Oryzias latipes: one gene and its partner. The protein of the gene in region 1 interacts with the protein of each later gene in a biochemical or structural test. Links are inferred from orthologs where the notes say so. Each region holds a gene or a part of one and is shown in the gene's direction. Other genes may lie near its edges.

Region 1 (3,118 bases):
TTGTACCCCTTTTTGTAGTGCTTGTACTTTTCATTTTCATTCAAGTTTTCTTAACATATGTCTTTTAGTTTCCTCTTCTTCACTGTGTGTGTCTTGAAATGTACGTTTTTGTGTGTTTTTATTGGCTTTATTTCTTTTGTTTCCCAATGCATGGTATGTGTCTTTTTCATTTTTTAAAAAAAGAACCAGGCATTAAAACAAGCTGTGAAACACAGAGCTGTTTACATTAATAAACAGATCATCAGCTATATTTAGCCACAAAGCTCAACATATTGTGTTAACCTGTCAGGAAAAAGCATCAACTGATTAAATAAAGATATAAAATGTTTTTTTTTTTTTTTCTTTTAAAGCTAAGTGTAATAGAGACATTGTCTTTTTTGTTTTTAAGTTAAGTTAAAAAAAGGGGATTTTGTCTTAAACTATTATCACACAAAGGAAAACTACAATTACTACACTACTATGAGCACACAGATACTGGTTGCAAAAAACACTTATATTTGTATTTGCTTAAATAAATAAAGCTGCAGTCAATGCCATTTTAATTAGTCCAGTTGGTTTATATCTCTAGCAGGGGTTGTAGAAACTGTACAAATATTGAAGCTTTGCATTTTTAATTAAGAGAAATAAGACACTATTGGCTCTGTGATATAAAATATGTCCAAAAGCCTTGGAAAACAGATGAGCAAATGAAGCTTGATATAATAAACCAAAATGTGGATGTGGTTCTTTGTTTTGCAGGTGAACGAGGAGACGGTGGAGAGGCTGGTGGTCCAGTATCCTCACATTGTGTTCAGCACGGTGATGCAGGACTGCAAGAGGACCCTTGAGAGAGCGTATCAAATGGGCTGGAGCCCAAACACGTCAAACTCCTCGTAGCTAACACCGGACCTCAACCAACGAGTCGCAAACGCGCACGCAGAAAAACTGAATTTTGTTGGGCTCTGTCACGTCAGCTTCTCATTCACTACCACCACGTGCATGTGATCTTGTAGTGACACACAAGACGGAACATCAGTCCGTTTGAATCTGATCTCCTATCTTGATATTTTCAACTTAAAATGATCTTTCTTCAGACCAGAAGCAACACAAGCTCATGTTATTAGAAGTAAAGGTTAAGAATGTAAAGTGTCTTTAAATTCTCTGAAGCGTCTGCATGCAGAGGAGGGAGTTAATTTTTGACAGCTTTTGATGATACTTATAGAAAACCAAGTTTTAATCAGTCGGGGAAATAAGTGAATTTTTTCAGACTTGAAGAAAAATGAGTTTTATCTACAAGAGGATGAGAAGGTTTTTTCTTTGTGGAGCGACTCACAATCCAGCTGTTACAGAGCAAGGAAGTACAACACAACAGCATCAACGTGAACGGCTCTACACCTCACCATTTAAAGAAAATGTGTTTTACTTCTCTGTTCATTAAAAACCTTGTTTATTGAACATAAGTAGTGTTTAACGTTAATGTTTTTGCAGAGTTAGGGACTCAGTGTGTTTACAATATTTTTCTGTTGAAGTTAAATTTGGTTCATTGACTATTCTGCCTCTAATCCAGTGCAGAAATGGAAATTGGCTTTACTTTTAGTCATTAAGTATTAAAGAGATCTTGAGACAGACACGACCTTCACCTGGGTCAAAGGCAAAGTTTAATAGAAAAAAAATTGTGACCTTAATTGGTTTATTGCCAAAAAAAAGCAAAAACCCATTTTCAGAAAGACATATTTAACTGATTTATAAGAAACCTTATTCATATTGTTTGGTCTACATATATGCACATATTTATATAAATATATACAGACATGAATACTGCATTAGATTTATTTAGTCAACTTTTGGTTTAAACATAATTGTAACATTAGCTGTGTAGCAAAGCAGTTTTTTCTCTTCCACGTGGAGCAGCAGAAAAGTGGCTTTGGCCTGAAACGGCGTGAGTATGCGTGTCTGGGTGAACGTTTTTCCTTTATTATATAAAAGCTATGTAGTGTACAGTGAAAGAATTCAAACGGCCAGGGTATTTTTGTACAGCGTGAGTCCGCTCTGGGCTCAGTCACCTCTCGCTGTCACTCACATGGAAACTAAAGCTCATTGGATTGGACTTTGACTAGAACTGTAAACTTTTTCAGCAGGGTGGAGAGTTGAAATCTGAAGCATTTAACCCTGTTCAGGATTTGTAGACTTTATTCAACGGAGGATTTCTCTTTCCTTCCTGTTTTGATCTCTTTCTGTTCTTTTGTAATCCCTGTGCGCACTGTTTTCTCTGCTAGATGTTGACTCACTTTATTTCTGATCTCTTAAGACAACCATAAATGACTGGATTTACATAATGATGAATAAAACCCACAACTTGAAGCTTTTTTCCCCTCTTCTTTCAGCGTGTCTTCAATCGGGCTTGAAAGTGCACTCAGAATGACAGACGGATCCCTTTTCCGCTTTATTCTACGTCGCCAGCAGTTTCTAAACTTTCCTTTATATTGATTACACTTTATCATCATAACGGTGATCAAATTGACCTCCAAAATGAGCTGGTTTTTCTGACAAATGAGCATCTCTTTTTCTACAGACAGCAATGCATTTGTAATGGCTTTTGTACTGCGCTCCATGACACAACAGTCAACCTTCATCTCTGTTAAGGGACACTTTCAAAGTCGGGACTATTTACGATCACACGGAACCCACATCTGAGACAAAGTGAGGAGACATCAGCTTGCTGCCCAGCGAGGCAGCAAAGGCCTCAAAGAGCTAACAAGCTGTCACTCAGTCTGTCTCCATTCTTTGCCGATATTGTCCTTTCAAGTGGCGCTTTTGCTGTTCAATGTGATCTGGTCGTCTCATCTCTGCTGATCAAACACTGGAGGTTGTGAAGGTTCCCAGATTGAGTTTTTGTGTTGTCAGCACAGTTTTTGTCAACTTGAGGCTCATTGGTTTAAGCTTAACAGGTTTATTCTTTCAAATCGGTCTTGTAATCTTTCTTGATGAGGCACGAGTGAATTTAGACCACAGAGCGATAATTAGGAGTCTGCAGGATGTGTTGATGAGGGCTGGTTAAAAAATGCACATTTTCCAGTTTGATGCGGGACAGTCTGAGGATGAAATGGACATCTGTGGAGTGTTTTTCATGTCAGCGCTA
Region 2 (3,929 bases), on another chromosome or scaffold:
GATGTTTTGTGTTTTTATAATAATTTTGATAATCCGTACATCTTTTAAACCCCCCTTTTGGGGTTAGACGGTTGCTGAAGCCTTGATGGACAAAGGTTAAGTATGCGCTGGGCAGGTTGCCATTCTGTCACACACACTTAAGGGGCAATTTAGACATTTCAATTAACCTATGAAGCACATTTTTAGACAGTACGGTAAGAAGAAGTTGGAGTTCCCAGAGAAGACCTGGAAAAGCCCCATAGCTGGGATTTGAAGCAGAGCCTTCATGATGTGAGACAAGAGTGCTGACCACTACACCAGCGTGCAGCCCAATTTTGACATATCCTTCTATGGTGGGGTTATATTTTATTATTTCACTTTCATGCTCATTCGGAGCAGAAGGAAAGGTTATCCCTCATCCTCAGTGTCTCCAATTTGAGCACATTCAGAAACAGTGTGTGTATTACTCCCCACAGCAAAAAAAAAAAAAAACATTTTTATTGATTTTGTCTAGTTGTTTTAGGGTTAATTCATTCACACAAAAAAAAATCCAAAGCTCCCTACTTGGATTCTTGGCGCCTTTTGTGTTGATTTACATTAAATGTCATCACTCTTTTGAAATTTGTTCTGTTTTATAATAAAAGAATAATATAATAGCTGCCATGAGGTCATAATTATTTAAGACCAATTTTAGATACAAAAAAAAATAATATGGAGGCCATCAGGTATATATTTTGTATATCTGTTTTGCTGTTGGAGTACATTTCCCTATGAGTAAAAACCTAATGAAACATCAATCCGTCCGCATAAGCACTGGCCTCTACTATAGTTGCATCATATAGGTTAATTGAAAACTATAATAATAAAAATGACAACAATAATTTTTTGACCACAGTTTTTTTAAGTCCGACACAGCGGCTCAAAAAGCTCCACTCCTATTGGTGGATAGAAGCGTCGATCTGTGACGTCATCCTCCCTGGCCAACCAGCTGTTTGGTGTTTTTTTTTTTTTTACCCCTTGTGGACAATGAGCAACAGGCCCCTGAGTTTAGCACAACGAGGAGAGTTCACTGTTACACAACGCCTTGCTTTTGAGAGATTTCTTTATTTTAGTGTCCTGAAAAGTAACTGAATTTGTTTATCTTTATTTTTTCGTCTTACAAAGATAATTCTGGATTGTTTGAGGCCGTGGTATGGACGAGATACGGCCTGTTAGCGGTGCGCCAGCCCACGGGCTGGTACCACTGTTTCCTCCGGGGCTGCAGGCTATCTATGGGGAATGTCGGCGACTTTATCCCGACCAAGCCAACCCGCTGCAAGTTACTGCCATTGTAAAATATTGGTATGTAACAAACCATTATTTTTAATCTGACAAAAATCTTTATAAGAGACTTTTTTGTGTGTGTTCTTCATGAAGCGATAGCTAGCATTAGCAGAGAAAAAGTTTAGCCTAGCTAAACAACTTAGCTAACATTTGGGAGATTTCTTCAAACAAAGGATGTTATTTTGATGGAATTCGGAATTTTAGCACCAAGTTTTATTGTTAAATAAAGCACAAAAAAGTGTAAATAATAACACTAAAATCTTTTCATCTCTCAGTCAGTTTAGGTACACATGACAGGTTTTGGAATAAACGTAGTTTTTTGACGCATCATGTATTGATCTTAATGGAAAACTTGCTTTTAATAAATGAAATGTTGTCTATACATTAGGCTTGGTGGGCCAGACCCGCTAGACTACATCAGCATGTACAGAAACATGGGCCGTCCTGCTCAGGACGTTCAGGAGCATTGGCACTATGTGAGCTTTGGCCTGAGTGACTTATATGGCGATAATCGTGTTCACGAGTAAGTTTTTGCAAATTTATTGACATGCTATTAAAATCATGATTAATCCAAATGTTGATATGGTACTGCACCCCCCCCCCCCCCCCCCCATAGTTAGCCATATGTTTTGATCTGTATATATCAATGCAGAGATTACCAAGGCAAGCCCTGCTGTTTATAAAAACATACACAAATTTACGTTTTTCAGATTTACAGGGGCAGATGGACCTAGTGGGTTTGGCTTTGAGCTCACCTTTAGGCTCAAAAGAGAGGTCGGAGAGACTGCACCTCCCACATGGCCAGCTGAACTCATGCAAGGATTGGCACGATATGTCTTCCAGTCAGGTAAAAATCGCAATCTGGTGCTCCTTCAATGTCCACATGCATTCAGATGATGCTGAAACATACATTCTCATGGATGGATAACAATTTTGAAAGTTTGATGGACTCCTGTTCTTGATGTACATTAAAATCCATAAAACCGTTTGTGAAACTGGTTGCTGCTAGTACGGCGTTTAAGTATTTAGCTCTGTTATTCGTTTTAACTATACATCCATTTAATTTAGGAACGTTGATTACTTTTTAAGGCAATTCTTTTCTTGGCATATGGTCTTCCAGTTGAAATCAATTTTTTTATTTATTGAGAACTGTTTTTTTTTATTATTCTATTTCAAAGATAAAAAAGATAGAGTTTTGTGGCTCCTGTAAACATCAAGAGTTGAAATGCTATGTTATCAGGTTTCTAGTTTTCTTCTGAGCCTGGATCAGAAAAATGTGGCTGAGTTGGGGTAGACACAAAGGAGGGGAAGCCGTTTACTCTAGGCTCTCATTTCCAGCTGGGGTCAGTTTGGATGTGGGTGGGCTCCTAAACAGAATGATTGCTGATTTTTCTGACCATCCTCCCCTTTGCTTCTCTTCTGAGTCCAGATAGGGAGCTTGTTGCCACCCAAGCAGATGCATTCACTCAGATGGATGAAGGCCATTTATTTAGTTTTTCTTGTTGTTTTCTTCTGATTTTCTACTCATCCTTTTTGTTATGTCATTTTTTGGGGTTCTTATTGCCTTGATTTTGTTATTCTTATATTTCTGTGCAGTGATACAGTAAAGTAAAGGAATGAGGAATGAGTTTGAAAACACAGACCCAGATGTACTAGACTTGATCTCATGACAGTCTTAACTTCCAACCGCATTGGTTGAACTAAAAAATAAAAAACTGCCTCTCTACAGAAAACACCTTTTGTAGTGGTGACCATGTTTCATGGCACAGTCCACTTGATAACAGTGAATCTCGGATCCAGCATATGCTGCTCACAGAAGACCCGCAGATGCAGCCAATCCAGACTCCGTTCGGCACAGTGAGCTTCCTTCAGGTGAATCCAAATTCCCTTCAGCTACAGAGTTCATAAGAATATATAGATATTTCTTTAGTTTTTGTTTGTTAACCACACTTTAATATGTTAGGTCGACCGGGTTTGTATATAATAAATATAGATTGGCATATTATTTTTCTGTGATTATCACAAAAAAAGGGATTTAAAAATGTATTTGTCAGTATCACAGTTTTGGTTTTTGCATTTAATTCTGTTAATTAAACATTCACTTTGAAGGTTCTTGTGTAACAAAGAAGGAAAAAACTGTTACAAAAACACTCCAATGACTGTTTCTACTGTCACGCTTCGTATTGTTTCTTTGCCTCGCTCACTTGTGTTTTTCTGGCTCATCTTTTTGGTTCATCATATGTGGATTGTTTGAATCTGAAATTCTGAGGTTTTCATTCTAGCGCCGCTGCTAAACTGTTAACCTTTTGTTTCTTTTACTTAAGTCAAAATGTCATATGAACATCAGAGAAATAAAACTTTCTTTTCAAACTGCATTTAAGGAACAGGAACAAAAAAATAGCTTTTTTTTTTACATGTTTCCAACTCTATTCAAATGTCTTATCTACACTCATCTGTTTTTAAAGGTCATACTCAGCATTATTCGTGTAAATAGCTAAAAGATTATCCTATATATATGCATTAACTATAAACAGTGCAAAATACCAATAACTGGTTCTGGTGGGTTTCCTTTTCATCAGATTGTGGGTGTTTGCACAGAGGAGCTGCAGGCGGCCCAACAGTGGAAC

What was found.
Region 2: of the proteins of fbxl17 (region 1) and sufu, one has a biochemical effect on the other in vitro, tested with the Homo sapiens proteins (2 studies listed by BioGRID, with this or other methods). The link is inferred for Oryzias latipes from reciprocal best matches to the Homo sapiens genes FBXL17 and SUFU.

What each region holds. Positions count from the first base shown.
Region 1 is NC_019867.2:8,013,822-8,016,939, forward strand, and holds the end of fbxl17 (F-box/LRR-repeat protein 17), read left to right. Parts: intron 1-738; coding exon 739-876; 3' UTR 877-2,340; downstream 2,341-3,118. UniProt on the Homo sapiens protein: Substrate-recognition component of the SCF(FBXL17) E3 ubiquitin ligase complex, a key component of a quality control pathway required to ensure functional dimerization of BTB domain-containing proteins (dimerization quality control, DQC).
Region 2 is NC_019873.2:23,439,217-23,443,145, reverse strand, and holds the start of sufu (suppressor of fused homolog), read left to right. Parts: upstream 1-990; 5' UTR 991-1,171; coding exon 1,172-1,320; intron 1,321-1,690; coding exon 1,691-1,825; intron 1,826-2,012; coding exon 2,013-2,149; intron 2,150-3,031; coding exon 3,032-3,174; intron 3,175-3,881; coding exon 3,882-3,929. UniProt on the Homo sapiens protein: Negative regulator in the hedgehog/smoothened signaling pathway. Down-regulates GLI1-mediated transactivation of target genes. Down-regulates GLI2-mediated transactivation of target genes. Part of a corepressor complex that acts on DNA-bound GLI1.